Yarrowia lipolytica: one gene and its partner. The protein of the gene in region 1 interacts with the protein of each later gene in a pairwise test. Links are inferred from orthologs where the notes say so. Each region holds a gene or a part of one and is shown on either strand. Other genes may lie near its edges. The genes, in order: YALI1_E01649g and YALI1_A11415g.

The links.
Region 2: the proteins of YALI1_E01649g (region 1) and YALI1_A11415g interact in a protein complementation assay, tested with the Saccharomyces cerevisiae proteins (2 studies listed by BioGRID). The link is inferred for Yarrowia lipolytica from reciprocal best matches to the Saccharomyces cerevisiae genes PNO1 and KEL3.

Annotation. Positions count from the first base shown.
Region 1 is NC_090774.1:163,458-167,047, reverse strand, and holds YALI1_E01649g (uncharacterized protein), read left to right. Parts: upstream 1-2,056; coding exon 2,057-2,833; downstream 2,834-3,590. Other genes in the region: YALI1_E01657g (uncharacterized protein), read right to left, coding at 1-1,332; YALI1_E01623g (uncharacterized protein), read right to left, coding at 3,213-3,590. UniProt on the Saccharomyces cerevisiae protein: Required for small ribosomal subunit (SSU) synthesis. Has a role in the processing of early nucleolar and late cytoplasmic pre-RNA species. Recruits DIM1 to nucleolar pre-RNAs.
Region 2 is NC_090770.1:1,139,027-1,143,599, forward strand, and holds YALI1_A11415g (uncharacterized protein), read right to left. Parts: upstream 2,522-4,573; coding exon 644-2,521; downstream 1-643.

The DNA of each region.
Region 1 (3,590 bases):
CACGTTTCCTGACACAATCCAGCCGAACGCGCCCTGAACTCCTCGGTTGAGGTGCTCAATGTTCACCTTATCAACTCTCAGACGAGATACCTTCTTCCAGGTTTTGTCTTCGTTGAGTTGCGAAGAAGGCACTCCGTGAATCTGCCGAGGGTGGATGGTGAACAGGGAGTTGTCATACGATCCACTCAGGTTGTTGGCAGATAGTAGATCGTAGAACAACCAGTGCTTTCGGAGCTGGGGCAACTCCATGTTGAACACAGATACGTTGAAGGGCTTGTCTCTGCCCGGCTGATGCAGAGACACCAGCGCGTCTTCGAGCTTGAAGTTTTCAATCTCAAAATCGCCGGTCTTATGTACGTTTCGATTGTTTCGAGGGTCCTGGTTGCGTTTCCATCGTAGATGGTTCCGATCAACCACTCCTCGAATTCCCTTAACCTCAACCTCCTTGAGGATACCCTTTCCTGACATGTATTTCGAAAACGACAGGGTCACATCCACTGTCTCGATGGTCAGGTCAAATTGTGTGTAGTTGCCGTCATCGTCCGGCGGAGCCGATGACAAGCTGCCATACTGCTTCTCACCAGCTAGGGCAGCAGCCTCCCCTTGGCTACCCTTTCGGGCCTTGTGTCCGCCTCCAGGCCTTCGGGACACGAAAACGTTGCGAAACTGGATGACGCCACCCTTCCAATGGGGCACAATTGCCTCCTCAAAGACGACAGACATGCCGGTCTGTCGTGAGACAATGTTTCCGATCTTGGATGCGATCCATTCCTGTGCGAACACGGTGTTCATGGTGAAGAGCACCAACGAGAAGAAGGTGGTGGTACCCAGCACGATCCACACAATGTTACCGACCATGAACCACGAAAGAAATGCAGAAATGTCGTCCATGTTGGTGGGTCGGTCCTGGCGGAAGAGCGCCCACTTGAACCGCACTCGCATTCGATTGTAGAAGCCCGTGGCAGTCGACAGCATTTCCTCCTTGGTGGGTCTCTTCCATCTTGGCTTGTCTTCTGGCTTTGTGTCTGTGACTGAGTCTGTATCTGTGACGGTCTTTTCGCCCTCGCTCTTGCTGCCCAGCTCCTTTGCAGCATTGTGCAGGTTCTCACTGGACTTGCGCACGTTTCGTGACGTTTCCTCCAGTTCAGCCCTCACGCCACTTGTAGAGTGAAACGAATGCCGCAGAGAATACCACGGTGTCACAGGGAGAGTGGTAGGGTGTGTAAGAAAGGGTCGAGGGGACAGGGTCGTAAGTTTCAACCAACTACTCCGTTGAGAGGGCAAGGCAAGCCGTCTAGTACAGAGTCTGGAAACTCTGTGTAGTGTTGCCATTATTGAGCATAGTGTTGAACTAGCTGGGACTGTTGTATTTGTGTAGACGACGGTAGTTGAATGGGGCGGTCAGTCCTAGCAAATAGGTCAACTTGAATTTTGAGACGTTGTCGTTTCTGTGGGGAAGTACAGTGCAATGAGAAGAGAGCCCGAGTGTAATGTCTTTCCTTCGTTGCTCATGTTCCCTCTGCGCCTGCATATTGGCTTAAAGCTTATAAGATTTTTACACCAAGAAACTGGCATGCTGAGGCTGGCACGCAAGCGTAATTGGCAAACTATATTTTGTGGCGTTGGGTGCAATATTGGGTAAGTATTAATTGGGGTTATTGATGAGCAATTAGTTGGGGGTCTGGATCCGTAGTGAGACATCTCTTTCAATCTAGCTACTGTACGAAATATCTGCAACCCGTATAGAAGTGAGTCAGTGGGCAACCGTATATAAGTGGGTCAGATGTCTATGCTTGCTAATAAATTTATTTGCTCTCATCGACTACTCCCATTCACGCCAATTAATTGTCTCTTCCCAACCATTATTACCAGTTGGACACGCTATGAGCTATCTTGGTTCCCGTAAGCCCTTCACATAGCGCTTGCATCGTGCCCAGCCATTAATTAGAGTTGCAGTCACTGGCCAAAAATTTAATTTGGAAAAAATCCGTTTCTCATGCAGCCTGATTTCTCACTCTGTTAACGATCCGTTACAACCACAAAAACTGATAAAAACATGGGTGCCCCAACGGCAAAGAGACAGACACAGGCCACCGAGCCCACCACAGACGCTCCCGTCGCCATCCCCCAAACTGAGGGTGCTGAGGAGGACGAGGTCATGATCTCCATGGACGGACCTCGAGAAGACATTGCCGTGCTCCAGGAGAAGGATGACGACGCCGAGATGACTCTCGACCAGGACGGAAAGCCCCGATTTGCATCTGCCGTCAACGCCGGCGAGGGCGTCAAGCCTGGCCGAATGAAGGTGCCTATTCCTCCTCATCGAATGGCTCCTCTCAAGAACGAGTGGATGAAGATCTACCCTCCTCTGGTTGAGCAGCTCAAGCTGCAGGTACGAATGAACCCCCGAAAGAAGCAGCTTGAGCTGCGAACATGCTCAAATACCGTCGACAACTCGGCTCTGCAGAAGGGAACCGATTTCGTGCGAGCATTCACTCTGGGTTTTGACGTGGACGATGCTATGGCTATCATTCGACTGGATGAGCTGTACGTCGAGACATTCGAGATCAAGGACGTCAAGACTCTTCAGGGAGACCATCTGGGACGAGCCATTGGCCGAATCGCCGGTAAGGACGGTAAGACCAAGTTTGCCATTGAGAACGCATCGAGAACCCGAGTAGTGCTGGCCGACTCCAAGATCCACATTCTCGGCGGCTTCACCAACATCAAAATCGCACGGGAGGCTATTGTTTCTCTCATTCTGGGTAGTCCTCCTGGAAAGGTGTACGGAAACCTGCGTATTGTTGCTTCTCGAATGAAGGAACGCTTTTAGTCATGCATAACTTATTAGTATATTGGAGGGACATACAAACATACATAACAAAAACATTTGATAGATTATGAATGTGTGTACTTTGTACAAGATGGATCTGCCAACTTTTAGAGCCCATCACCTTACCTGTTGTAGTCGCGTACTATTCGGGTACGAACTATACGTTAGCGAGACTAACACGCTACTCATAGATAAATCTGTTGACTCAAATGTTGAGACGTTGAACTATATGTACGCGTATCAGTTACAAATAGATGGATACGATATCTTTCCTATCCACTCTGTAAGCTACAAGTACGATAGTCTCATACACGTGGGTCATCGTAAACTAATAATATCTATTTCAATTTTGTAATCTAATCATCCGAAGACCCCTTGCTTACTCATCCTCCTCCTCGTCATCAAAAGCCTGACCAATAACGTCGTTAGAGTGGTTACTGCTCTTGATGTCGAATGCTTCTCGAACGGCCTTGGTTCCGAACATGTCCCACACCTTGAGCTCACCTCCATGGCCACCGGCACAAAGAGTACCGGCGCAGGCCTGGTCGGGGTTGAAACCCACAGAGAAGACCTTACCGCAAGAGAGGTCTCGGTTGGCCACCATGGAAAGAGAGTACTTGTCGTCCTTGTTGGTTTCTCGCCAGATCTTGACCTCTCGGGTAGAAGCAGAGGAGGTGACAATAGCTCCATCAATGTACTTGTTGTAGTCAAAAGCAGACAGGGGAGAGTCGTGAGCCTGCAGAGTCCACAGAGGCTT
Region 2 (4,573 bases), on another chromosome or scaffold:
TGTTAAGAACGGTATTCAATCTGCTCTAAAGATCCACAACTCGACTCCCAGGTCCCATACTGCGGTTTCAAAGCCCACAAGTAGGGGTGGGTTCCAGAGAAGCATCTCCAGAAGCCGGGAACGGCATTCTCGAGAAAAAAAGATCGACGTGGAGTTCAGAACCAAGTCTTTGGGACATGGGAGCCGGGAGTTGCTTGTGATGTCTCGTTCGAAGTTGGATTCGACTCATGTTAGATGGAGACTGATTAGCGATATAGATGAAAAATTTAGAGAATAAAATAGAAGAAAGGATTTTTATTTGGTATTTAAACAATGTTTGGATGAATTGGAAGACGTAAATACCCGATTTGAGCCATTCGGGCAATAAAATTCAAACTGGAGTTTATATTGAAAGTTCACTTTCTTGAGATATATTGCGGATTTAGCTCAGTTGGGAGAGCGCCAGACTGAAGTAATTCTCAGTCTTGAAATCTGGAGGTCCTGTGTTCGATCCACAGAATTCGCAATTCTTTTTGGGACCAGCAGGCATTCAGAGAATGGCCTCTTTTTGCTCCTCGCTCTGCTCTATGTGCCACATTTGTCGCCACGTACGAGTTCTCATTGTTCAAATTGTCTTATTTTTCCGTCTATCTAAGTCTATAGATTACCGTCTGGTTTTTCCACTTCGCACATCTCGCTCCACCACCTCGGCAACACCGCCAATCTCCTCAAAGTGGTCCTCCATGACTCGCACCTCCTCTCGTCGCTCCCAGAACCGGTCCTCGGCCAGATCGAACGCGACCTTCTTGAGATCCTTTCCGCGGGCCTCTCGGTCGGCCGAAAGGGCCCACTCCAGGAACTTGTCTGCAGTTCGCACGTAGAAGGCTCGAAGGACCTCAAACGGCTTGGGATGAGGCAGCCAGGGTCGGGGATCGGGAATGGTTTCGTTGGAAACCTCCTCTTCTTCTTCCTCCTCCTCGCCGTCGTCTTCCTCCACACCCTCAGCGTCGTCGTCGTCTTCTTCAAACTCGTCGTCCTCATCCTCCTCGTCATCCTCCTCGTCAGAGTCAACGTCCGCCTCCTCAAGCTCCCGCAGGTCTTCCCAGAACACCTTCACGCCGTCCAGCTTGTTGAGATCAATGCCATAGAAGGTGTCCAAAGTGAACTCCCGGTCCCCTCGTTCCCATGAGCCTCCAAACACGTAAAGAACGTCGTCACAGACGGTCATGGAAGCATTGAACCGAGGATGAGGCAGTTGGTTGGCAATAGGATACTCCTTCTGCACCACCTCCTCTCCATCGGAGTCCTTGAGAGTCTCCTCCTCCTCCTCAACCGCAGGAGTCTCACCGTCCTCACCCAGATCCAGCTTGTCCTTGAAAATGCTGTCAAGAGTGGCCTTGAGATCGTCGTCTCGGCTGATTTGGGCCCGTTCCAATGCAGCCTTTCGCTTCTTGGCACTTCGCAGAGACAGACCAAACCACCGGTTACTTTCAATCTGGTAGGCGTACAGCTGGTTGTAAAAAGTGGAGTCCAGACTCTCCTCGGTCTCGTCGGTGTCAAACACTCCTCCAAACATGACTCCTCGACCTCGATGGTGCACCAGAGAAGCACCAACTCGAGGAGAAGGCGCGTACTGTCCCTTCTTACGTCTCTCCCACCGAGAAGCCTTAATATCGGCCTTCATCTTAAGATGCCACACATCCTGATGCACCTTGCCGACAACGGCCTTCTTGCCCTTGTGCTTGACCTTGGAGTATCCTCCAAAAATGACGGGACCCTCGGGACTGGGCACAAACGAGTGGCCCGATCGAGCGTCGGGAGTCTGGTGGTTGGGAGGGAACTCGATCTGAGTCCACTTGTAGGTGGTGACGTCAAAAGCCCACAGATCATCCAGATACGTGGTGGACTGCGACAAGTCTCGGAAACCGCCGTGCAGCAAGATGTAGTTCTTCCAGTACGTCAGTCTGTGTCCGGATCGGGCGCTGGGGCCCTTCTTCTGGTCCAGTTTGCTCCATTCTCGGGTTTCGGCGTCAAACAGCCATGTGTCTCCGTAATGGTAAAAGGTGTTTTGTTTGGGTGACGAAAACTCTCCTCCAAACATGAGAATGATTCCACTGGGGTGCGTGATCATCTGGTGGCCGGACCGGGGCAGTGGGGAGTTACCAGACTCAATCTTCTTCCACTGATCCGTGTTGATGTTGTACGAGTACAAGTCGTTGAAGAAGGCACATGTTCCCGAGTGGTTCGACACCTCTCCACCAAACAAAAACAGCTCCTTCTTGCCGTGAACCGGCGAAGTGCACATGGAGCAACTGACCCGCTTGCTCGGCCGCTCCACGTTGGTAATTGTCACCTTATCGTGCGCTTCCTGCTCCTTCTTGTAGTTGGCGAGAATCTCGTCAATGTCCATGTCGTCCTCGTCTTCGCCCTGCTTGGCCGCCACCTTCTTCTGTTTCTTCTCGCCCTTGGCGGCGTTTTTCTTGGCCTTTTCCGCCGCTCGCAGCTTCTTGGCCTCCTTGTCCTTCTTCTTGTCCTTGGCCATGTTGATGTTGGATCAGATTGTGCGAAAAATAAAATTATCTATAGGTGAAACTTATTTCTTTTTTTATTTCATGCGCCAGTTTGCCGGTGAAACTGTGGTTGAAAAACGTAACAAGGCTTCAAGAGACATTTCTCGACAGCTGAATCGATCAACTACCAAAAAAACTGCTAAATGAGGGAAAAAAAAAGAAAAAGTAATTGCGAATTCTGTGGATCGAACACAGGACCTCCAGATTACTCTGACCGAAGAATGACTTCAGTCTGGCGCTCTCCCAACTGAGCTAAATCCGCGTGATTGTTGTTAGAAAAAATGGACTTTCATCATGATCCGAAGAATGTCAAAAAGCTGCCGCAATGGCAAAATGGAGCCTCTAGACGGATTATCTGGTCATAAGTATGGGGTCTACCACTTGAAATATTTGAGATATTAGAAAAATCAAGTTTCAACTGCCGCCTTTGTCATCCTTTATCTGTAGGGAGCTAATCTAAGACTCTCTTTCTCCATTCCAAAGAAGGACTGATTTCCAGTGCGATCTCTTGGGCCGATTTGGGCATGAATTTTCACTCACATTACACCGTATTTACAACTTGTCCACTCCGCTCTCATGAAGCAGAGCCCAGCATGTCAGAACCATAGAGGAAGTTTGGAGGTTCCAAAGACTTGGATCTAAACCAAGCAAATTCCACCATTACCCACTTTATGGCATCACCGGAATTAACAACTCTTACCTTTTGACATTTCTCTGGAAGAAGCTGGCTCTACGACGACACGCCAACATTTGGCTACTGTTATTCCAGAGCTTGCTCGTCTTCTGATGGCTTCAGCAAGTTCTGTCGTACTCAGGACAAGATGCCAAGTTCCAATGCTGCTGTGTGAGAGATAACAATTGCCGTCATATTGCTATTCTGGAACCCATCGTGTCTGGAATTGACCCGACCGGCGTCCCAAGTATAGAAGACCGTAAGTATGGTTGATGACTTACAACTCACTTGTAGGGACACTATGTTCCGATAATAGTACACACCAGAAGGATGTGTGTTTGCTCATTCACCAGAAGAGATTTAGTACATCAGTGGAATACTATCTACAGGATGGACATCTCGTCTATGATCAAGCTGGTCCCCCTCTCATCTTCACCACAAGAGAATCAAGGAGTTGGTCCAGTCACGGTAGATACATCTAACACTCTGAAGGAACGGCCATAGTTCCATTGAGTACAAATATACAACTGTGAATAGCTGTTACAGCTCCATTGAGTACAAATATACAACCGGGAATAGCAAATATTGCTTCAAAGAGCTAAATGAGCAAGCATAACATGCGACTATCTGTTCTCTGGACATTGCGGGCAATCTTGTTGAAGCCGTACAAGGACTCATTTTTATGCTTATCTGAAGACTTGGAAGGAGCCCAGTGGCCACTCCAATCGTCGGGCACATCGTGACAGTCGCATGGTTGAATGATATCTCCATATCAGACAGTGATAATAGGGCCTTGCCTGAAGTCCTCACTCTGTCGGTTCTGCAATCTCATCCAGTCACGTCACCAAGGTGTGTCTCACAGTAGACCCAAGGTGTGTCTCAAAACAGTCTGCTGAGATTCCATCCATACAGACCGCATAAACACATGTCTCAAAAATAGTTCCTTTTAAGAACCCCTCGCTATATATCGTACTCTAAGCCGTGTCTATATCTCATTGTATTCCCCGGAAGAGCCCGAAAGAGCCAGAAATTATTTTCTTAGGTCGAGGAACCCATATCGCCCGCACAGCTGTTCAAAAGACGGATTTTTAGAAACAAACGCCCGAGAGACCATTTCCAACCACGTATCGACCCACCGCTCTTCTCCAACTAGTCGTAAATCAATCACAGGCACGTCATCTCGTATATCGGCGTTTCGTAAATGCCGATCCGAGAGCTACGTGTTTTAGAGTTTGGCGCGGCTGAAACCGACAAATAACTTTTCGTCTGTTAGTCTTAAAGGCGCACAAAGAGAGAATCTAAACTCGGCAATAGTATCAGGAGGAGTTGGAGATGGCGATGACATGCTCTG